Linked DNA regions of Caenorhabditis elegans. The protein of the gene in region 2 interacts with the protein of the main gene of each other region in a pairwise test. Each region holds a gene or a part of one and is shown on either strand. Other genes may lie near its edges. The genes, in order: sas-6 and sur-6.

Region 1 (11,452 bases), on a different chromosome or scaffold from region 2:
CTGCACAAGTTTGCGTTGCCAGCGGCAACTTCAGTTGCTCAGTATCACGAGAAGGTAGGTTTTAAATCATTTTCAGGCGTTAAAAAATCAATAAATTACACATTATTTTCAGGTTATCGATCACTACGAGAACCCGCGAAATGTCGGATCACTTGACAAGAACGATCCAAGCGTCGGAACAGGAATCGTCGGCGCTCCAGCTTGTGGAGATGTCATGAAATTGCAGATTCGAGTGAGTTTTTTCACATTTTCCGGGGAAAAAATTATTATATTTTAAAGCTAAAAACATTTCCAGGTCGACGATAACGGAAAAATCATCGAAGCCAAATTCAAAACATTCGGATGTGGAAGTGCAATTGCCTCATCTTCCCTGGCAACCGAATGGATTAACGGAAAAACTATCGATTACGCGTCGAAAATTAAAAATGACGAAATTGCCAAAGAATTGTGTCTTCCACCAGTCAAACTTCACTGTTCAAGTGAGCTTTTTTCCCTATTTTTCTCGATTTTTTTCGCAACTAAAAATGTTTCAGTGCTCGCCCAAGACGCCATTCAAGCCGCTTTGAAGGATTATCAGAAGAAGCAGACTAAGAAGGCCTAAGCCTGAAGAATGTGTAATAGACAATTTGTTTTCGTTATAGAAATCGCTATATATAAAAGAGCTTTTTTGTCACCTTTTCAGTTGCATAATGACGAATTCCAGCGGAATGCGACAGAAGCTGTCTCATTGTGATTTTGACGTCTTCGTTTTTGAACTTTTTCGCCGGGAATTCAGGAAGATATTTCTGAAAAAATTAATTTCAGATTTTCCCTTCCGTTTTAAGTTGCAAACCCGAATATCCTCATCAAGATCTAATGTTCCATTTTCAACGCACTGTGCTGCCAACGTGGCAGTTATCGGCTTACTGATGCTCGCAATTCGCATCACAGAATCTCCTGTACATTTTGCAAAACTTTCGAGATTTGCATACCCAAATCCACTTTTCCAAACCATTTTTCCATCCAGCGAAACTGCAATCGAAAGGCCTGGAATACCTTGAATAGCCTGAAAATAATGTCGAATTGGAGAAAGTTATTACACAGACTTGGAATTTAGAGATTTTTCCGCAATTACCTGGTCTCGACACGACAAATTTTTGTTAAATATGAGAAGGTGTGCGCCTTTAAAGAATACTGTAATTTCAAATTCTCATTTCTGTGGAATTTCAATGGATTTTTCACGATTTGTCAAAATATGAGTGTTCTTACTGTTTTTTACAGAAAAAATCGGGGTTTTTCCGATAAAAATATAATTATTTAGTAAAAAACAGGAAAAACACCTATATTTTAAAAAATCGTGAGAAAAATTCCACGGAAACGAGAATTTCAAAAGTGACAGTACTCTTTTAAAGGCGCACACCCTTTCGCATTAAACAAAGTGTCGCGTCGAGACCCGGCACCGTATTTTTGGTACAAAAATCGCAAAATTTCGAGTTCCCAACCAACCATCGTCGTCTCCACTAGCTCCTTGGCTTTTTTGATTTTCAGCAAATTTTCAGATTTTTCGCTTTCCCTCCGGAAAACTGTGGCTCCCAATGGAACAGCAACAGCGGTGGCACCAAGAAGCATCTTTGGACAGGAAGTGTACCATGACATGCTGGAAATTTTTTTTAATTTTTCCAAGCTCTGCGAGCTAGTGACAAATATTCCAAAGATGAAGCAACAAATGGTTCTAGGTGGCAAAAAATAACTTGAAAAATTAAATTTTTATTTTATGTAACAAGCAAAAAAAAAGAAAAAATTAAGCAATCGACGGAGATGGCGGCTCAATTACTTCGATGAGAGCACTGGCTTCCTCGGCTTCGATGAAAGCGTTCTGAAATAAAATAAATGACTATTACGAAAACTATGAAACATCCCAAAACCTTCACTAAATTACACAAAATATTAGAAGAAGCGTCGTCAGTGGCCTGAAGAAGATGGAGTTGGTATCGTGTAGTTGTGCTTTTTTCGACGAAGACTATGTTGGTTCTGAAATTGTTATTAAAATTACGGTCTCAGGTCTCGAAGCGAACGGAATTTTTTCTTGGTGATTTTCATCTAATTCATAATTAACCAATCGCACCTTCCAAATCCATCGGCATACGTCGTCAAAAGTATCAGCTCGATCAGTGGAATCCTCAGTTTCACTAATCGTGTTCTTCTCGAAGAAATCCGAAGTCCGTGCTTGGTGACCTCCATGTAAACCTTAAAATTCAAAGTTTTAATTATATTTCAACAAAAAACGGGATCTTCTGCGATTTTACACCAAAATTACGGTTTTGGGTCTCATCGCGACAAATTTTTGTTAACTATAAAAAAAATGGTGTGCGCCTTTAAAGACTACTGTAATTTGAAACTTTGTGAGTTTTCACTGATTTTCCAACGATTAATAACTGTTTTCTTGTAAAATATATTTTTTTATCGAAAAACAAAACAAAAAGAAAATCGATACAACAACAAGAATTACACGTTACAGTATTTACTCTTTAAAGGCACACAACCCTTTGCAAATAACTGTGTCGTGTCGAGACCGACAAAAATTCTGCGTTTGTGTAATATTCCCAACCTCCTCATGAGAATCCCCGTTGTTTTTCGGTAATTTCCCTAAAAGTTGGCTATTTTCCAAGTGCTCAACAATTTTTTCCTCGAGAGATCGACTGCAAGACGTTCCATTTTGAATTAGAGAATTTATCTGGAAAATTAAATGTTTTTTTTCTGAAGAAAACCTAGTAAACTTTAAAAAATTCCTTACCTCTTGAACTGCCACGTATAATGCTGAAATTTTCGGGTCTGTCATTTTTTTTTTTGAAAAATGTTCAAGCGAGTTTCTGGCGTCATAATGTTTGCGGAGGACTCCCAACTGATAAAAACCTTCCCCATTTGAAGTGCTGGCGGTGGCCTAGAAATCTCAATGAAATAAGCAGAGTTTTATTTTCAAGTAAAGGACAAGAAAAAATCAATAAAAAAGATTTTATCGTTGAGCGGGTGGGGTGTTCGTCACACTTGAACCAGTAGTCTCGTCGGCGATTAGTTGACTGTTGAAACGAAAAGCATGAGGAGTTGCAATTGTCGAATTTTGGAAATTAAGAGTTGTATTGTCACGGAATGGGGTGCGCTGAAATTTGAACAAATTAAAATATTTTTTTGAGTTGAAACAGTTCGGAAAAATGCTCAAAAATTGTGTGAAAATTGGAAATTGCCGGAAAAATCGATAATGTAGCTCATTTCGTAGAACTTCTACTAACCGAGTTCAAATTAGCTCCATATGGAGTGTGGGGTCCAAGAACAGGCTTGAATGATGGTGTAAGCCTATTTGTTAGTCCGGTCTGAAGCCCGGGAAGCCCAGAAGGAGCTGGACTAAACCGTTGGGCTCGGTAATGGGCAATTTTTTCTTTAAGATTCTCATTCTCCATGCTCAGCTTCTCAAAACTATCCATATTCTCGGCGGCCTTTAATTTCTCGTTCTCCAGCTCCTTCCTCAAGATTCCAATAGTTTCAGTGAGACTCTCAACCATCGAATCTTTTTCCTTCAAATCAGCTTCCAGCTCTCCTAGTTTTCTCATATCCAGACTTTGTTGATTCTGTTGTTGGGAGTTTCGCTTCAACAGCTGATCGGCCTTCTCCAGGTTCCGTTGAGCCGTGCCAAGTTCTGCTCGAAGCTTCCCAATTTCTTTCTGATGAGCCACATTTCGTTTCTGAAGCTGATCCACTTTTCCTTGTTCTTCTCTCAACATATTTCCAACAATCTCCAGCTCCTCCTGATTTTCTTCCAATTGCTTTTGCAGCGACTCCGTGTCTTGTTTCAAATCAGCCACTTCATCTTCTTTATCCTCAACTAATAATCGAATATTCTCTCTTTCCTCTTTCACCAGCTCCACCTCATCTTCCAGCTCTTTAAACTTTTCTGACATTTCTTCGAATTCCTCCTTCACACCAGACAGTTTTTCAACTTGTTTTTCCAAATCTCCACATTTCTGCCGTAGGCTTGCTAGCTCATCTGCAGATTTATAAAAAGTGGAGAGTTTCACTGCTTGACTGGAACAAATTTTCAGAAGATGTGAAATTAAATGATCTCCGCGGACTGCGTGAAGCTTGATGGAAAAGATTTTTCCTTTCGAAATAGGAGTCTTCGAGAATAGCTCAAATCTGGAAGAAAATAAAAAATTAAATTTCAATATTAGGTAATCTATTTCCCTTACGAGCAAAAATTCTTCTCGGCATCCAAAATAATATTGATTTCCGTCGGCTTTCCTGGATCAGCAATACTATGATAACCTGCTTTTTTCCGTGCATCAACCTCCCCATCTTCTTCCAAATTTTTCACAATATTTTTACATAACAAGTGTTGAATGATAACTTTCGGAAAAGCATCGAAATCCACTGTTAAATCGTGATCTCGAGCCAAAATCTGATATTTCTCGTTGTTCAACGTTTCCGAGAATAGAAATTCAAAATCATCGGAGCGGCTGATTTCGAATTTTAGCTCCTTTTCTCCACTGGTTTCGTTCCTTTGCTCTGATATTTTCAGCTTAACTTTTGTTTTGTATGCCCTGAAATTCTGTTACTTTTGAAAATCGTTTGCTCCCTTTTCTTACTTAAAATCCGGTTGATTTAGGCTCAACGGCTGTAGAAGTGAGGCGATGAGTGTTTGATCGAATAATGCAATTTTGCTAGTCATTTTTGTGGGAGAAAATCTGAAAAAAATTATGTTAAAAATAGGAAAAAACAGCAGAAAATGAAGAATAAAAAATTTGCGCAAAAACAATAAATTTGAGATGGCGCGCTCTATGGGACTACGGTGTGCGATTGCGGACTTGGCAATTGCGGACAAAACATTGTAAACTACGCCTAACAAAAAATCGCATTTTCTTTTTTTTTTCACAAACTAAAATTCCCCATTTCAGCCCATTTTCCGTCAAATTTTCACATTTTTGAAGATTTAATAAGGGAAAATAGAGAGTTTCCCGCATTTTCAATCATTTCTACAATCCTACGTCGTTTTTTTCTTGTGTGAGCCACTTATCCCGTTTTTTAACAATTTATCTCATTTTTCAGCTTTTTCAGCTTTTCCAGCAAATGAAGCGCATCCAGTCGGAGCTCTTTGCTCCTTATCGATTCTTGGGTGTGGTAACCGGTGATGTAAGCTTTTTTTCCGAATCTGAAGTGAAATTACTTATTTTTTCCAGGTCGCCCCGTCAATTCGTTCAACATTTGTCGCAAAAAAGTCGGCATTGTCAGTTTTGTGCCCAATTGATAATGTAATCATGCAATACAATGGAAAAAAGCTTCGTGCGATTGGAATGTCGGAACCTTTAAGCGATAAAGTGTCAGCAGTCGCGTCTTCTAGCACGTAAGCGGTTTAGAAAAATGCAAAAATAATTATATATCATTTCAGGAGCGTGTTCGCTGCTCACGGAACCAACATTACTTCTCTAGCATTCTGCAGAGATATCAAAGATTCCATCGACTTGGGCGCCAAGATCAAAATCATGACATTAATCGGAACTCAGCTGATCGCAGTTGATATTTCTTCTGGAATCCACGTCATTGATACATCAGAAGGAGGCCTTCAAATGAGCCTATTGATGGAAGGATCCGACGATTTTGAAATAACGGCAATCTGTCACCCATCCACGTATTTGAATAAAATCGTGGTCGGCAGTAGCACTGGTCGAATGAAAATTATCAATTTCCGAACTGGAAAAGTGATTCATGAGTTCCAGCGAAGTTTCGACTCGAGAATCACAATTATCGAGCAAACTACTGCCTTAGATGTGGTAGTTGTAGGGCTGGAAAATGGTGAAGTGATGCTTTTCAATGTGAAAATGGATAAGATCATCACATCGTTCCGACATGACGCAAAGATCACTAATGTCGCTTTTCGGTGGGTTGTGTTTTAAATTGAAAAATATTATTTAAAAAAATTATTTCCAATATTTTCAGTGACGACGGCGAATCAACAATGGTAACTGCCGATAAGAACGGAACAATGGCTGTGTGGGATCTCGAGAAGCAGGAATTAATCGGAAAAATCACGGGAATTCACTCTGACGAGATTAATTGTCTCTATTTTGTTCCAGGGGAGCCTATCATGGTAATTTCCTGTTAAAGGTGGAGTGCGCCCAGTGGGAAAATTGCTTCAAAACACGCCTATGGGGTCACAATGACCGAATATCATGATAAAAAATTCAAAAAATTTTTCCTGATTTTATATGATTTTTTGAAATTTGAAAAAATCTCAGTTTTCTCCTAATTCCTATTTGAATTTCCGCCAATTGGAATCGTTCGATGGAGCGCACTTGCCTTATTTTTATCAATTTATTTTATTTTTTCTCATTATTTCACTGATTTTCTCCATTATTTGTGTATATATTTATCGGAAAGAGAAGTAAAAAAGCAAGATTAATGCAAAATGTTTGTTTAAAAGTGATTAAAAATGCGTAAAACTGTAAAATTATGATTTCCGACGACAACAACAAGATTTTTTAAAAAACACTTTGCATTTATCGTGAATTTTTCTCTCTTTTTCCGAAAAAAATACACAAATAATAAAGAAAATCAGCCGAAAAATGAGAAAAAAATAAAATAAATTAATAAAAATAATGCAAGTGTGCTCCATCGAACCATTACAATTGGCGGAAATTCAAATAGGAAATAGGGGGAAAACTGAGATTTTTTCAATTTTCAAAAAATCATGTAAAATCAGGAAAAATTTTTTGAATTTTTTTATCATGATATTCGGTCATTGTGACCCCATAGGCATGTTTTGAAGAAATTTCCCCACTGGGCGCACTCCACCTTTAAATTCCGAAGAAAAGGTTAAAATTCAATTTTTTCCAGCTCTCCGCTTCACTGGATAACTCTCTGCGTCTCTGGATTTTCGACAGTGCAGATGGAATGCCACGTGAACTTGTCCGCCTGGAAGGACACTCGAAACCATGTGCCAGTATCAAATTTGTTGGAAAAGATCACGTTTTGTCGGCCGGAAAAGATGGATCCATTCGAAAATACGATGTTTCTTCGTTGACAATGAGACAGAAGCTTGGCACAGTTGGACAGGGTGTTAAATTGAATAAAGAAGTTCAAAATGTAGCTGAAATGGCGTTTGGATGGCAACGAGAAGCTGCATGGAATAATGTGTTTTGCAGACAAGTGTACGGGAAACGCTTACTTAATATGTGCCAAAAAGAACGAAATTCCCGGAAAATTGACTCAATTTTGGCTAAAATCTCCAATTTTGTCAACTTTTCCGGTTGGAAATTACCTTTTTTTTCGATTTACACCTTTATTGCATTTTTTTATCGTTTATCTCACATTTTTGGTTTATTAGGGTACACTCAAAGGTGGAGTAGAGTCAAAAATCAACCGTAATGACAATTATAACTGTTAAAAAGTTAAAAAAAAATATATATATAGTCACAGTATCTTTCGGCTAATTTCCTTTAAATAACGAAAATTGACCGAAAGTAACTGTAAATATATTTATTTTTTAAAAGTTTTTTACAGTTATAATTGTCATTATGTTTGATTTTTGATTGTACTCCATTTAAATGCATCTTAAATAGCGAAATAACGTGATAAAAACTATCAAACAATAGCAATAAAGGAAAATAAAATTCAATAAAAATTTAATTTCCGGCTGTTGTGACACGGAAAAGTAGGCAAAATCTGAGATTTTAGGTGAACTTAAGCCATTTTTAAAGGTTGAGTACCGAAATCTGAGAAATATTTTTTAAATGACTTCAAATTTTCCCCGGCTTCGGAATATCTAAATGAAAAAATTCAAAAAAATTTTCCTGATTTTATATTTCAACTTGAAATCGCATTGCGTCCCCATGAAATTTTTCAAACGCCGAATTTTCGCGCCAGAGACGCCATGTGTCGATTTACGAGATTTGTGTAGATTTTCGAAATTTTTTAATATTTATCAGATGCTGATTTCCGTTTTTCAACGAGTTTCCTTCATTTTCGTCGGTTTTTGCCAAAGTTTTTTTGAAAATGTGTGTTTTTTTTTAAGTCAATTAAACATTGTATTATCAAAAAACTAATAAAATTTTCGATTTCCGTCGAGTTGTGACCTAAAAATTGGAAATTTTGTTAGTTTTTTGATAATATAATGGTTAATTGACTTAAAAAACACATTTTCAAAAAAAAAACTTAACAAAAACCGACGAAAATTAAGGAAACTCGTTGAAAAACAGAAATCAGCATCTGATAAAAATTGAAAATCTCGTAAATATACACAAATCCCGTAAAACGACACATGACGTCTCTGGCGTGAAAATTCGGAGTTTGAAAAATCCCATGGGTGTAGAAGCGATTTCAAGCTGAAATATAAAATCAGCGCAATTTTTTGAATTTTTTGAATTTAGATATTCGGAATCAGGGGAAAATTTGGAGTAATTTAAAAATATTTCTCTTTTATGATTTCGATACTCAACTTTAAAGGAATTTTTCAAAAGTTTCATTTTAAAAAATTATTTATTTGAGCAATTTTTGAGCACACTTTTAGTCTCCACAAGCAAAAACCTCCTATATATTTCCAGCTTCTAATGTTTCCTTCCTATTCCAGAAATGACACAAAAATCACCACATGGCAAACGAGAAACAACACCTCTGGAGCATTTACACTGGAGCATGATCGTTTCAAGAAAAAAGTGGATTTTATTGATGCAAATGCGACTGCTCTCTGCGTATCACCTTGTGGAAATTTCGTATTTATTGGATATTCTACAGGTCATATCGATCAATTTAATGCTCAAAGTGGCCGCCACGTTCATTCATTTACTGCTTCCACCACTGTGAAAAAGAGCAAGAAGTCTAAGAATCCACGAAAAGGTCCCACTAAAACCAACGGCGATATTCACAACGACACTCCGGCTGCCGATTCTCCGATTACATCGCTTTCCGTAGATCAACGTGGAAAAGAGCTAATGAGCACTGATGCTCAAGGTCATATTCTGTTCTGGTCTCTTTCAACGAAGGCTATCAATGCGAAAATGTTCAAAAAAGATGTTAGATTGGGAATTTGTGCACCGTGCCCGTCGAATAGTTTAGTGGCGTTGGTGGCGATTGCTGAGAATGGGAAAGAAAGTGTGATTCTAGTGGATACAGTGTGTCATCGAGTTGCTAGAGCATTTGAGACTGTTGGCAATAAGGTAGGTTGCCGTGAAAAAAAGTTCGATTTTTTCAGGAAAAAAACAAAAAATTCAGGTTTTCCGGAAAATCGAAAAAAAAATCAGAAAAGCACGATGATATTGCATTTTTTAATCAATTTTTTTTAAAAGTTGTTTAAAAAACATTTAAAAACGCTATATATTCCTTTTTTCCCATTTTAACCGGGAAAAAAAAATTTTTATTTTGATTAAAAAACCAAAAAAAGAAAATAAACAGTTTTAAAACTAGTTTTGGCAAAAAAAAAACTCAAAAAAATAACTAATCTTTGCTAGAAAAGCCCGCTTTTCCAACAAAAAAAAAAGATTTTTCCAGCAAAAAAAACCATATTTCGCCAAAAAATGTTTAATAAAATCCATTTTTGGAAAATAAACCAAAAAAATTAATTCTTTGCCATAATGAACCAGAAAATATATTTTTCCCAAAAAAATTATTTAAAAAACCCCAAAAAAAAAAATTTTTTACAAAAAAAATCAGTTTTCCCCAACAAAAAACCATAAAATGGTTCTATTTTTGCTTTTAAGCAACCTAAACAAATTTTTTTTTAACCGTAAAAATCGTAAAAACCAAAAAAACATTTTTGCCAAAATAAATGTCCAAAAACCCAAAGAAAATCTGTTTTTATTTTAAAAAAAAACCCGAAAAGATTTAAAAACCAGAAAAAATATAGAAAAAATAACACAAAAAGCCCCATTTTCCCTTTTAAAAAATCCAATTTTGCCATAAAGACCCAAAAAAATTAATTTTTGTCCAAAAATCTATTTTTTGCAAAAAAAAAATCCGAAAACCCATATTTCGCTAAATAATGTTTAAAAAAAAATCCATTTTTGGAAAAAAAAACCAAAAAAAACCCCATTTTTTCCCGAATAATCCATTTTTGACATAAAAAACCAAAAAAAAAATAGTTTTTCGCAAAAAATGTTTCAAAAATCCATTTTTCACAAAAAAAAGAAACCAAAAAAACCCTTCATTTTTCCCAAATAATCCTTTTTTAACATAAAGAACCAACAAAACAAATATATTTTTCCAAAAAAATCCATTTTTTGAGCCAAAAATAACTTCAAAAATCCTTTTTTTTTCAAAAAAAAATCCAATTTTTCAATACAAACCAAAACATCTATTTTTGAAAAAAAACCAAAAACCCACACTTTTTCAACAATTAAAATTTTTCAGGTCAACGCGATGACATTCTCATCAGACGGAAAATGGCTTCTAGTCGCTGACAATGATTCTTATATCCGTGTCTTTGATGTTGCCACTTCTCAACTAATCGATGTACTTCTCTTCTCAAAACCATGCATTTCAATGTCCTACAATGAAACAGGCCAATACTTGGCTACAGTTCATGAAGGAGAACGGGCCGTCTATACATGGGCCAACAAGGTTCTATTCGTAGCTCACATCAATATTCGAGCACATCCAGCTGACTACTTACCATCTTGGAGCATGATTTCTACGGAAGAGGGCGGGACTTGTGATATTGACGATGATGAGGATGATTTGACGACGCTTATGGATCAAGATATTAAAGCGATGAAAGAATTGCAAATTGATGAGAATCTTGTTACATTCTCAGGACTTCCATCATCTCGTTGGGCTAATCTTCCAGATTTGGCACTTATTAAAGAGCGAAATAAGCCAACTGATGCTGTTAAAAAGATCAAACAAGCTCCATTCTTTCTGTCGGCGTCTGCCACTTTGGATGGATTTGAATTTGAAACTGAGAATATTGGAGACGAAATGGACGGAGATTCCAGATATATTACATCGAAGAGGAATTTGTTGGAGTTGGAGAGCTCATTTACTACTCTGCTCAGAAAGTTAGTAGTTTCTGGAAGCTCTCGGGCTTCTCAGCTCCCAAATGTTAGATTTTTCCCAGAGTTTGACCTTAAAAGCGTCGGTGTACTCCACGTGGAAAAATGGATTTTACAGTTTTTGTTTGAAATTTGTATTTTTTCAGCCGAATCGAAATAATTTTCTTATTTATATTATTTTTGTCCAGCTGAACATTTCAAATCGTCGTTTTCCATTTTTTTTTGGCAAAAAATGGAGATTTGCAACTTCCACAGCCCGAATCGCTCAGTCCACTGAAGCGCACTTGCACTTTCTAATTTTTCAGTGTTGTTTTTGAAAAAATGGAAAAAAAGTGTTTTTTTTTTCAAAATTTGCAGAAAATGATTTTTGCGGTTGGAACAATATGAAAAAAACTTTTTAACCAGCATTTTTCAACAAATTTTGAGAAAAAACGCTATTTTTC
Region 2 (11,452 bases):
TTTGAAAATCGAGAACAAAAAAATAATCAAAACGTCATTTGAAATCGTTTGACAAGAGGAAACAAATGATTTTTTGTCTTTTTTGTGTAACATTTCACAGAGAAAGATGTCTTGGCAAACATCGGCGGGAGATTCAAAGAAACACATGGCAGGGAAGAAAAATACTTTTTGGAACTTTTTTTCTTGAAAAAATCTGAAAATTTTCTTCATCGAGTTGGGTGAAATAGTATTCAGAAATAATATAACTTTAATAAAATGTTCTTCAAAAAGCTTCTAGATTGTTTGCCTACCTCTAAACAGTCTGAAAATCATCAAAAGTACTTAGAAACTTTTTTCTGAAAATAAAATGTTTCAACAACCCTGTCAATCAGTAAACAAGCAGTGTTTCAAGAAGAACAACACCATGAAAATTATATTTGAATATTTAAATTCAATGAGTATAAAGACATTAGATAAACAAGATAAAAATTTCAGCATAAAAGTTCTCTTTGACAAATTCGATATGAAGATGTTCCTTCTTGAAGTTGTTGAAGTATATCAGCAGAATCTTCATCCGCAATTTTGTGACATTCTTGATCAGTGAAGCCGTTCAAATTTAAATCACATTGTCTGAAAATTGTTTGTGTTGGGAAGGCAGTTGTGGTCGGAAGGTAATGAGCCGGAACTTTGATAAAATATCGGGTACATATGACTGTTCAAGAAATGATAAAATAATTAAAGTGACGAAGAAATATGAGAATAGACCAAAATGTGTTAGTACTTACTGGTAAAGAGATTGCCGAAGTTGGTCAGGAGTTACATTTGTGAAATTGTTACGATACTCATATCGGACATTATTAAGGATTACCTGAAATCGGAAGAAAATTTAGATTCCTATTAGGTTTTTTGTTGGAATTATTATAATAATCGCATTCAATTTCTAAAAAAACAGGTGTTGAAATGTTGAAATGTTGAAAATTTGCAACAAAAAATATTCCAAAAGTTGTTTCTAGAAACTTGCAAATTATTGAAAAACTTACATCAGCTTCTGTAACTGACGGAAGAACTCAATTTTGAAGCAAAAGTTGGGTTCATTTTTTGAGATTTTTCCTAAACTTTTGAACTTGTTGCTATTAGGACGTACAGAACCCCGTCTTTGTTTATTTCTAAAAATCTGATTTTTTCGGCATATATTTCAAAAGCGAGCATTATTGGAAATGTCTCCAAACGTTTTTCTAAGTCTATTTTATGTTTAGGATGTTTTGTGAACCTGCGAACAACTTGAGGTGTTTTCAAGAACTTTTATACAAAAAAAAGAAAAATTCCACAAGTCTTCCAGATTGTTTGGGTACCTCAAGACATTTCAAAAAATTATAAGTCTGCATTGTCGGCATTTGTAGATTTTGCAAAAATCCACCTTCTCGAACAACTTTACTGGCCGCGAAAATAGCAAAAAAGTTGTTTTAAAAAATAAATACAGATCAAGCTGTTTTCTAATTTAAAATGCCCGTCTGTAGTTAATTTTTTTTTGTAAAAACCTATATACGTTATTTTTTTCAAATGGCATAAATGTTATTTGGAAGTACAAAAGTGAGCTTAACACTTTCTTCAAAAAAAGCTGAACAAATTATTTTTTAACTTATCAACTTCCCATATTTCCTTTTAAAAAAACAACCGAGACCGAAATATAAAATTTGCTCACCTCACACATATGACAATTAGGTCCTGACCATACATCAATTCTTGGTTGTGGAATTGTAGGAATACCTCGACTCAAAACAAGAACAAAAAGAGCCGAAACAAGACAAATGTACTGCATGACACTGCCCCAAAAACTGATTCGTTTTCTTCATTTTGTTCCTTCTTCAGTAGCTGCTGCCCCTTGTCAATTTGTTGACGTCATCATTTTATCAGTGGTCGTGAGCTGTAAATTTACTAGACATTTTCGTGCACAGCCACATGCTTTTTCAGGTTTTTCGAGTGGAACGATCTAAATGGTTTTTGATATGTATTTTCATGTACCTGGTTATTGCTCTTTGTTTTCAAAAATAAACTCCTTATTCTAAAATTTTAAATGTTTATCTTGTTTATTCAAAAGAACCCTGATAGAGCCTACAATGCATTGACTGAATATATTTTAATCATTATGGGTAATTGGAGTTTGCAGCCGAATGTTTTGCACAAAAATCAGTTTGTTTCGGCGGAGCCATGTAAGCCCCTCTACTGCTCTTGAACATTTGTAAAATATTCAGAAATTTCAGAAAAGCGATTTAAAACGAGGTGGAGTCATCCATAACATCCTTAGTTCTGAATGTATCAAGGAACGAATCTACAGCGTCAAAGAACCTCGTAGCATTGGTAAAAAACATCGCGGTCAATTTTGGAACCATTTATCGGCTGGAGCTAGATTTGTCTTCTTCAAAACTTTCTGTCCATTGTTCAAAGAGGTTCTGAATTCTTCATTTTCAATTTTGAAATAAAATATAATTTAACGTTACAAATTATATAATGAGAGAGGATTCAGCAACTTGTCAATCAACTTTAGAAACTATTCAGTTTGACGTTCAAGAAGAACTTGTAGTATTATTCCAATACTCCAGTTTCGAATTTTGGACGTTTTCCGATCTCACCTCGAACGAAATGCTGTCAAATCTAAGTGAAGATATGCGCCTTTAAAAAGTACAGTAATCCATTCGCCGTTTTGGAATGGTGTAATGTACTATTTAAAGGGTGTAATCCTCTTTGCGCGACCTTCATTAAAAATATTTCGTTTGTGGCGAGACCTGGAAAATCGAAACTTACAATTGTTGATAATTTCGGGAACTTCAAAATCGCCCATTCTTTTTTCAACTTCGCTCTTAATTTCCTTTTTTCGCAGTTTACGGACAATTTTTTCACAAGTTATTTTAACTTTGTGAATAATAATTTTGCCATTAACCAAAAAAACACTATTTTTTAATAGAATTTCTTTTCTTTACACCCATCTTACACTAGATTTCTAGTTCAGTACAAATTGGCTACGGTCAACAATTCAGCACGGCGCCTAAGACGCAAACACCGTGTACACGATGACGCGCAACTGCACACTCTTCGGTTCAAATTGTGTTTTTTGCGTTTGAGTTCGTTGATTCATTTTTTCATCTATTTCTTCCGATTCATAGGGTTTTCTACTCTTTTTCAGTAATTTTTTTATTATTACGCTTGGCACAATGAGAATTCTCGCGATATTGCGTTAAAAATGGCTGGTAAACAGGCTTCGGTCGAACGAAGGCGGTAATGAGAGTCGAGTACTTGAAGAACATACTCTCAAGTGGCGACTGATCGATTGGGTTAAGGTGTGCTCGAAAAGCTCATTTTTCTTGTCATTCGATCTACTGTGAAAATGAAACTAGTTGGAATTGTCTCGAATATTATTTGTACCCTTGTTGTCCTGTTTTGAGATTTCCATTTCTTTGACTCGGTTTTTTTTGCGGCAAGCTGAGTCGACATATTTTATGTTTTTTGTATCACTTCGCGGCCACATTCTTTTCTGTCTTGATATTTTATTTGTGCTTCCTCTTTTTTTCTGCTTTCTCCTTTTCTGTACGCGTCTCCGATAATTATTCATGTAGAGAGATGGAGAGAGAGGTACTAGTGGTAATTGAGCAGCATGAGCATGAGAGAAGAGCCCTGAACGAGCCGAGTTTTCAGAGGAGCGCAGATATTATATGTATGTTTTGGCAAGCACGAGAGCAACACAACCAGTTAGATGAATACGAGTTTTAGTGTTTTCAATGTTTTTTCCAAGTTTTGAGCCATTTTTAATTTCGAATTTAATTTTAAAGGCACTACTAAATAATTGCAAGTATAGGGAAATTATAATTTTATCAACCTTGAGGATTTATTTTTTATTCAAATTTTTGGTCTATATTAAAAACCACTTGCACATTGTCAGAATTTCTTCCCTAATGAGCAAAAAGCGAAATTTTCAGCAATTCGATCACAAAAATCATGTGTTTCCGGATTTTGTTATGCGAAATTATCTAAATTTTGAAAAATAACTTGTTACCGACTTACATCACATCTCTTTTTCTTCGTTTTCTTCCTGAAAACAAATTTTCGGCAAGTCCCTAAAAAGAAGAGCCCAACTCATTACACTTTTTGCGAACACTAATTGACCCTACTTTCACTGAACTAAGTTTTCTTTTACGAAACGGTCAAAATGTGCTTCCAAATAATGATAGTAACATTTTTCAAATAAAAAAAGAAAGAGTTGACTGTCCATCAATGCTATTAGCTTCGCACACAGTTTCTTTGTGTTCCATCGTCGAGCTGTCTGCGTAACTCGTTTAGGTGCACTGTCTCGTGTTTCATACTCTGCGTCATTCCGTTTTCGCCATTCGGTTCGTCGCCGGCGCCATAGCCAATCGATTATTTGGTTCTTCAAGGCAGTAGTCGCCCATCTCTTCATGTCTCCTCGCGCTCCCTTCGGAAGAACACTGATATCTCTTCTCGCTCCTTCTCGACGTCTTCTTTTCCTCCCCCACCATGTCTTCTGCTTCTCCACCGGCTGATGCTGTCGTCGCCTCATGCTGCACACGTCGTTGACACTCACAGGCCCGCACACACATGGAGGGAGTGCTCCATCTCTCGTTTTTGCCGCTTAGAAAATGGATGTATATTGTTTTTTAATCCATCATGATTCCTTCCGTCTCCGTTTTTCACTTTTTATTACATTTTGCCAATTGGATTTCTGTTGATCACAACAATCTTATTCAGCATTTTCCTTATTATTATTTTGAAATAATCAAGCTTTTAACTTTTGAAATCATATTTGCTTTCTGATCAATAATTTTTTGTTTCTATCGGAGGACAGCTGATAAGTAAGAGGTTCCTTCTCGTGTAGTCATGAGTAGTCATTGATTATTTCCGTCTTGTTGTTGCCCTCTGGCCAGCTGCGTGAAGTTCTTCTCTGCGTGATCGCATACTGTTTCAGTCATTTTCCTATGACTCATCTGATAATTATTGATCGATCGATTGGTTATCTACCATTTTGAAAAAAAAGTTGAAGTTATAATCTGATTTTGCGCCTCACTCTGCTCATTATTATTCGGCACACACGCACACATACACACTCATTTTTGTTTCCTTTTCTGTCTCTTTCTCTCTACGGTCTGTCTATTGCTCCGTTTTTGGTTAACTGGAATTCACACAGGTGAGGGAGCGGATTAGGAAGAAACTTGAATAGAAAAAAGAATTCAGTGAAAATGAGATGATTAGAGAACTACCTCGAGCCATGTATCTCTGCTTTCGTGCTTTATGAGCATTCAGTGTTGATAGTAATAACATAATGAGATGACTGAAGAGACGCAGATGTTGTGAAGAAGCTCGAATTAATCTCGCGCGTTTGCTCTGCGCCGATGGATTAAGAGTCCCTTGGTTGGCAGACGAGATCTCGGTAAGCATCATCTGCTTGTTTTCTCCAACCAAATCTTCGTGCTTTTGACCAACAATTTTTTTTTGACTAAAATGCGGCGATCAGAGAGATATTACTTATAAATTGATCTACGTAAATTAAGCATCCATTATCAACATTTTTGTGTTATTTCATTTTCTAATTTTGTTGCACTGAAATGCACTCAAAACCGGTCCCTTCCGTTTACAAATTGCAAATGCGCCCTTTCGCACCCTAGTTTTTTTGCCCGCGTTTCGTCATGTAAATTGCGATAGCATTGCGGCACCGCTGTGATTCTCGGTCATTTTTGTGATCGAATCAAACATACAAACTTTTAAACAACGTTCTTTGTCTCTAATTCTCTGACCTGAGTGTTCCATTCCTTTTGACTCTTTGAAAAAACTTTGCAGCTATTTCTCTTTCAAACAATTGTCTTAATTTCCTGTTTTACCATGTTGTGCTTTTTCTTCATCACTCGACAGATTTGTTGCCTAGCAACCTGCGGCATGAGGATTTATGCTTCTTTTTTTCCCGATGTCAATCTCTGAATTCCTAATCCAATTTTGTATATAATAATTTCCATTTTTCAGACGCATTAAAAATAGTCGTCATTCCCGTGTCTCAAACACTTTAATCTTCGTCACATCCAGTGATTAGGAAGGGAAGAGAACCAAAGAAACAACGAAAAAGAGGAAAAATTTGAATAATGGTGATGGAAGTGGACGAACCTGCAGTTGCGGCGACTACATCGCAAAATCAACCGCAGGAGCATGCGAATGACTTTGATATGGATACCTCCGAGGGACCAATTGAGAACGATGAAACATTTGAACCGGTAGATCAAATAAATTGGAAATTCAACCAGGTGAAAGGAAATATAGATGCCGATGTGCACACGGAAGGTAAAAAATTGTTACTTGAAATTTCCCTACGTTTTTGATACTATTTCTTAAAGACGCACGATTTATTCAGAAAAAAGTTGGTGGTTTAATTGCCTTGTTTTTTTTTAAAATTAAAATACTACTTAGTTCATTTTTTGCGAAATTTGTCATATTCTTTTCATTTTTCTGTGAAAATTGTTTTAAATCAGTTTTTAAAGTAAAACATTCGAAAAAAATTACCATAAACATTATTGCGCGCCGAGACCCATCTGAATTAATGCGTGCGACTTTAAGATGATATGTCAAAAATTAGTAAAAATTATGATGCCTAGAATACTGAAAAATCGAATAATTTTCAGCCGATGTGATCTCTTGTGTGGAATTTTCACACGATGGTGAATATTTGGCAACGGGAGACAAAGGAGGACGTGTTGTAATTTTCCAACGAGATCAGAGTGTAGGTTTTAGTTTTTAGAAAGACGAGAACTGTTTTAAATATTTAATTTTTCAGGGAAAGTATGTGAAAGGCGTTCGATCGAGGGAATATAATGTTTACTCGACATTTCAATCTCATGAACCTGAATTTGATTATTTGAAATCACTAGAAATTGACGAGAAAATTAATCAAATTCGGTGGCTTAAAAAGAAGAATGCAGCCAATTTCATTCTCTCGACCAACGACAAAACAATCAAGCTGTGGAAAATTAGTGAAAGAGAGCGTAAAATTGGAGACGATGCATGGAATCTGCCTAGAACAAACAGAATCAAGTATAACATTAATGATTAAATATTTTAAATATATAAATATAATTTTCAGCACTTCCTCCTTCCGAGGTCGCTTACAAATACCCTCGATCGTGCCAATGGAGTTGATAGTTGAAGCAAGTCCGAGACGAGTTTACGGAAATGCTCACACTTATCACGTCAACAGTATTTCAGTGAATTCTGATCAGGTATTTTAATAATTTTTTTTTGTGTTCAGCTTTTTTCAATCCAAAGTATACGATGAATCAAAATCTCAACAGTATAACCTTCTTCACATGTTCGGCGTATTTTTTTAACTATTCAATTTATTAGAAAAATAGTACCAGGTTGGCTGAATTCTTTTTTGTGAAAATTTAAAATGTTTGGTACTGCAAGGACCAAAATATCAATTATGTATAAGTGAACCGAAATTAAAAATTATATTCCGATTTTCAGGAAACATTCCTATCTGCCGACGATTTGCGAGTTAACCTTTGGAATCTGGAGATTACCAATGAGTCTTTCAGTGAGTTTTGAATACTTGTTTTCAAAAAATTTTAATATCGATTTCTTCCAGACATTGTCGACATCAAGCCTGCTAATATGGAAGAACTTACGGAAGTTATTACTGCCGCCGAATTCCATCCAACGCAGTGTAATTGGTTTGTATACTCTTCATCAAAAGGATCTATTCGATTGTGTGATATGAGAGATCGTGCTCTATGTGATGCGTATGCTAAAAGTGCGTTTGGTTCTGTGTATTGATTATATAAATAATATTAATTTGCAGTTTTCGAGGAACCAGAAGACCCTCAATCTCGATCTTTCTTCTCGGAGATTATTGCATCTGTTAGTGACGTCAAATTCTCACATAATGGAAGGTACTTGCTTACGAGGGACTATCTTACTGTCAAGGTAATTATTAATAATTAAAAAGAAAATTTGAACAACTTTTATATTTCAGGTGTGGGATTTGAACATGGAATCACAACCGGTAGAGACATATCCAGTGCACAATTATTTACGAACAAAACTCTGTGCACTCTACGAAAATGATTCAATTTTCGATAAATTCGAGTGCGATTGGAGTGGAGATGACAAGTAATTAATTGCAGTACTTTTTCATATTATAATTTTCTTTTTGCAGACATATTCTCACGGGTTCGTATCATAATCTGTTCCGTTCATATGCTCGTGGCAATAACCAAGATGCGAAAACTTGGGAAGCTCGGCCTCAAGAACCACATTCACAGCTCCGATCTCGATTTGTTGTACCATCAGCGAAACGGAAGAGAAACAATCTGTCATCAAGCGGTGAAACGGTAAGATTTCAATTAAATTTAAAAAAACGTCTTCATGTTTAAATGGGTCTCTGCGCGCAAAAAAAGTTTATGGTAGTTTTTATTTTTATTTTATGCGACTGCTTCTCGTTTATTTTTTATTTTTCAATATAATTACTTCGTATTTAGCGACATTTTTTCGCTAAAAATACACTTTAAACGACGTAATTTTATTGAAAATGTAAAATAAACGAGGAATCAGCCGCATAAAATAAAAGCACAACCGTAAATTTTCTTGATCGCCAAGACTCATCTGAATACATCCGTGCACCTTTAAGAATGCATGTTAAACTCTCGTGAAAATATGATAAACATATCTTACTTCAAAATCAACAAAAACCCAATTTACAGACCGAAGAGGATCTTTCATCTGATCAACTTCAATTTGATCGTAAAATATTGCACACAGCATGGCATCCAAAGGATAACATCATTGCTCTTGCTGCCACTAACAATCTCTACATCTTCTCAGATGTTTAAATTATTGTTTTCGTAAACTTGTTGGATTTCGTCCTCCCCCAATCATCATTTTCCCTTTTTCTCAATTTATCCTCAAATATCACATTCATATAACTCTAAATTTTTTTTTCATATTTTCCCCATATTTTTGTGAGTCAATTCTTTCTCAAATCCCGTCCCTTCTTTCCCGTTTTCGTAGTCCTCATGTCGACTTATAGACATTTAATCGCGTATTCAATGTTACTCGCTTTCTTTCTTTCAAATCCTTCGTCATCGTAAATTTTTGAAGTAAAACAGGAATAAGCTCTTAGTTGGTTTCTATTTTTCAACTGTTAAAGTTGTCTTTTGCTTCCAATTTGAGATAGAGTTGTACTTTATTATTCTTATAGCTTCTTTTTCTTTACTCTCTCCCTCTCTCTATCCTCTCATATCATTCTTGAATTACGTGGCCCGTTTTCTATACTTTTCCCTCACTCTTCAACTCCAGTGTTCTCTTTCTTGTCTCTTCCACCACCACTTTTAAAAAGATAACTGTAGATCCTTAACCCCGAATCATTCGGGTCGTGTCTCTCCCACTTTTAGGATGATTTCTCCTGTTAGATTCACAATGTGTTTCACGACTTAATCCTCTTGTTTGAAAGCGTGTGAAGGTATTATTCTCACCTTGTTAGCTCCATTCTGTAATTTTGAAAACTATAAAAATCGCCCAAAAAATTTTTGAAATTTTTCCGACTTTAGTTATTTTCTCTCCACTTTCTCTGTTCGTTTGTCTGTCACAAAATTACAAACTTTCAAATCAAGAATCTTGACATAAATTTTTGTATTACTTCCCTCATATTTCTTCATCATTAAATCCCCGTGGGTGTGTCTCATCATTAAGTCTTCCTTTTCCCATAAAATTGTAAGCAATATTTATTTTCCAATCATAAAAACTCATTTATTGAATGGAAATAGTCGACAAATGTACAAAAACAATAATAATAGTATCACATTTGTGGCGATGAGGATTTCAGTTCCATGGCGACGATATGTTTGACGTACTAGTACTTGTGCATCATATGTGACTTTGGAGACTGAAATAAATTAGAAAAATATATTATTGGTGTCTCGACACGACAAATTTATAAATGCGAAAATGTGCGCGCCTTTAAAGATTACTGTAATTTCAAACTATTGCTGCTGCTGAATTTTCACCGAATTGCATAGTTAGAAAAATGGAATATAACAATAAAAGCATAATTTTGAACAAATAATTAGAAAAAATTTAAAAAAAAACTCGATGAAAATTCCGAAGCAATCATAGTTTGAAATTACAGTACTCTTTAAAGGCGCACAACATTTCGCATTTAACTAAAATTTGTCGTGTCGAGGCCGCGTACCGTATTTTTGACGCGGATGTATAAGAGAATAATTAATTGAAAAAAATCGATTATATTACGTTGGATTTTGTTTTGAAAAAAGTACAAAAGTTATAACTTTAAAAAATAGATAAATCGAATCGATGAATTATTTATACTTTGATTCCTTTTGACTTGATAAATATCATTTCCATAGACAAAAAAAGGAGAAAACTATATTTAATCCTTAATCCAAATTCTGACATTTTTATTTTTAAATCGAAACTCTCTTTCGGACAATTGATATTATTAGTTAACATTTACATCTACAAAAACAAGATAATCCTCTAAGGTGTTGTCAAGACAGAAAACATACGGCTGATTTGTTTAGTACACATGGCGAATTTTCTTGAGGGTAAGGGAAAATACACAAAAAATAATATGTGCATTTCCTGTGCAGTTTCAATTTTTTAAAGTTTTTTATATTTCAATTGTTCGAAAATATTTTTAAGGGTGGAGTTCGGAAATTGGGTAGTTTTAATGTACTCGGAATCGATATGCTAAAATATCGCAAAAGAAAACTGATAAAAACAGTGAAAGATGTACATTGCCAACTTCAAAAAATTCGCTAATTCCCTGTTTGAATTTCTTCCAAAATATGAATTCATGTACACTTTTGGATCAATCAACGACTTCTGACTCCACAAACTCTACCTGACATATTGGAATATTCCGAGAATTTTAAGACTAAATCCCTATTTTCCAAACTCCATCTTGAAACAAAAATAAATAGATTCTCGACAATTTACTAAAGAATATTGCAAAAAAAAATTCAGATAATTTTCAGAAACCCCATTGGTATAATAGTATGATAACTAAAAATCCTTCTAGAGCAGTTGTCGTCTACTGAATATTAATTAATCGATTGAAATTATTCAAAAACTTGAATTGAACTCACGATATCTCTTTGTCTTCTGAAGACGTGTACCAGTTGCTTCTTCACGCCATTCATTTGCAACTCCTCTTGTAATTGCAGTTGTCCAAAGAGCATTTGATTCATGTTGTTTTTCGACAACACCATCCAACATCTGATAAATTATATTTCAGACTAATAGCAAAAATATCAAAAACTCACTCGCCGCCCATCACCACTGTATGTCACTTGTGGTTTGCGCTTCTTCTGGAAATGATTTTGCATATACTTTTGTTTTTTTTTCTAGTTTTCATTCAACAAATTTTCCACTTTTTTGAGCAAGAGTAGGCGGACTGAGCCTCGGT

The links.
Region 1: the proteins of sur-6 (region 2) and sas-6 interact in a two-hybrid assay, tested with the Caenorhabditis elegans proteins (one study listed by BioGRID).

What each region holds. Positions count from the first base shown.
Region 1 is NC_003282.8:13,784,011-13,795,462, forward strand, and holds sas-6 (Spindle assembly abnormal protein 6), read right to left. Parts: upstream 4,722-11,452; 5' UTR 4,700-4,721; coding exon 4,617-4,699; intron 4,572-4,616; coding exon 4,221-4,571; intron 4,168-4,220; coding exon 3,267-4,167; intron 3,137-3,266; coding exon 2,993-3,136; 3' UTR 2,935-2,992; downstream 1-2,934. Other genes in the region: lact-9 (Beta-lactamase-related domain-containing protein), read right to left, coding at 675-785, 833-1,045, 1,486-1,635; iscu-1 (NIF system FeS cluster assembly NifU N-terminal domain-containing protein), read left to right, coding at 1-54, 113-232, 296-479, 534-601; icap-1 (Integrin Cytoplasmic domain-Associated Protein homolog), read right to left, coding at 1,781-1,855, 1,905-2,010, 2,105-2,226, 2,588-2,713, 2,774-2,818; Y45F10D.7 (Small-subunit processome Utp21 domain-containing protein), read left to right, coding at 5,098-5,160, 5,208-5,371, 5,417-5,905, 5,965-6,115, 6,862-7,175, 8,594-9,179, 10,369-11,015. UniProt on the Caenorhabditis elegans protein: Central scaffolding component of the centrioles ensuring their 9-fold symmetry. Required for centrosome biogenesis and duplication.
Region 2 is NC_003279.8:9,748,119-9,759,570, forward strand, and holds sur-6 (Serine/threonine-protein phosphatase 2A regulatory subunit sur-6), read left to right. Parts: upstream 1-6,003; 5' UTR 6,004-6,119; coding exon 6,120-6,315; intron 6,316-6,653; coding exon 6,654-6,751; intron 6,752-6,805; coding exon 6,806-7,062; intron 7,063-7,111; coding exon 7,112-7,247; intron 7,248-7,494; coding exon 7,495-7,564; intron 7,565-7,615; coding exon 7,616-7,780; intron 7,781-7,828; coding exon 7,829-7,953; intron 7,954-8,002; coding exon 8,003-8,139; intron 8,140-8,185; coding exon 8,186-8,360; intron 8,361-8,729; coding exon 8,730-8,858; 3' UTR 8,859-9,770; downstream 9,771-11,452. Other genes in the region: spp-25 (Saposin B-type domain-containing protein), read right to left, coding at 471-609, 765-847, 1,682-1,798; F26E4.2 (Tnp_DDE_dom domain-containing protein), read right to left, coding at 9,771-9,910, 11,133-11,262, 11,310-11,354. UniProt on the Caenorhabditis elegans protein: Probable regulatory subunit of serine/threonine phosphatase let-92.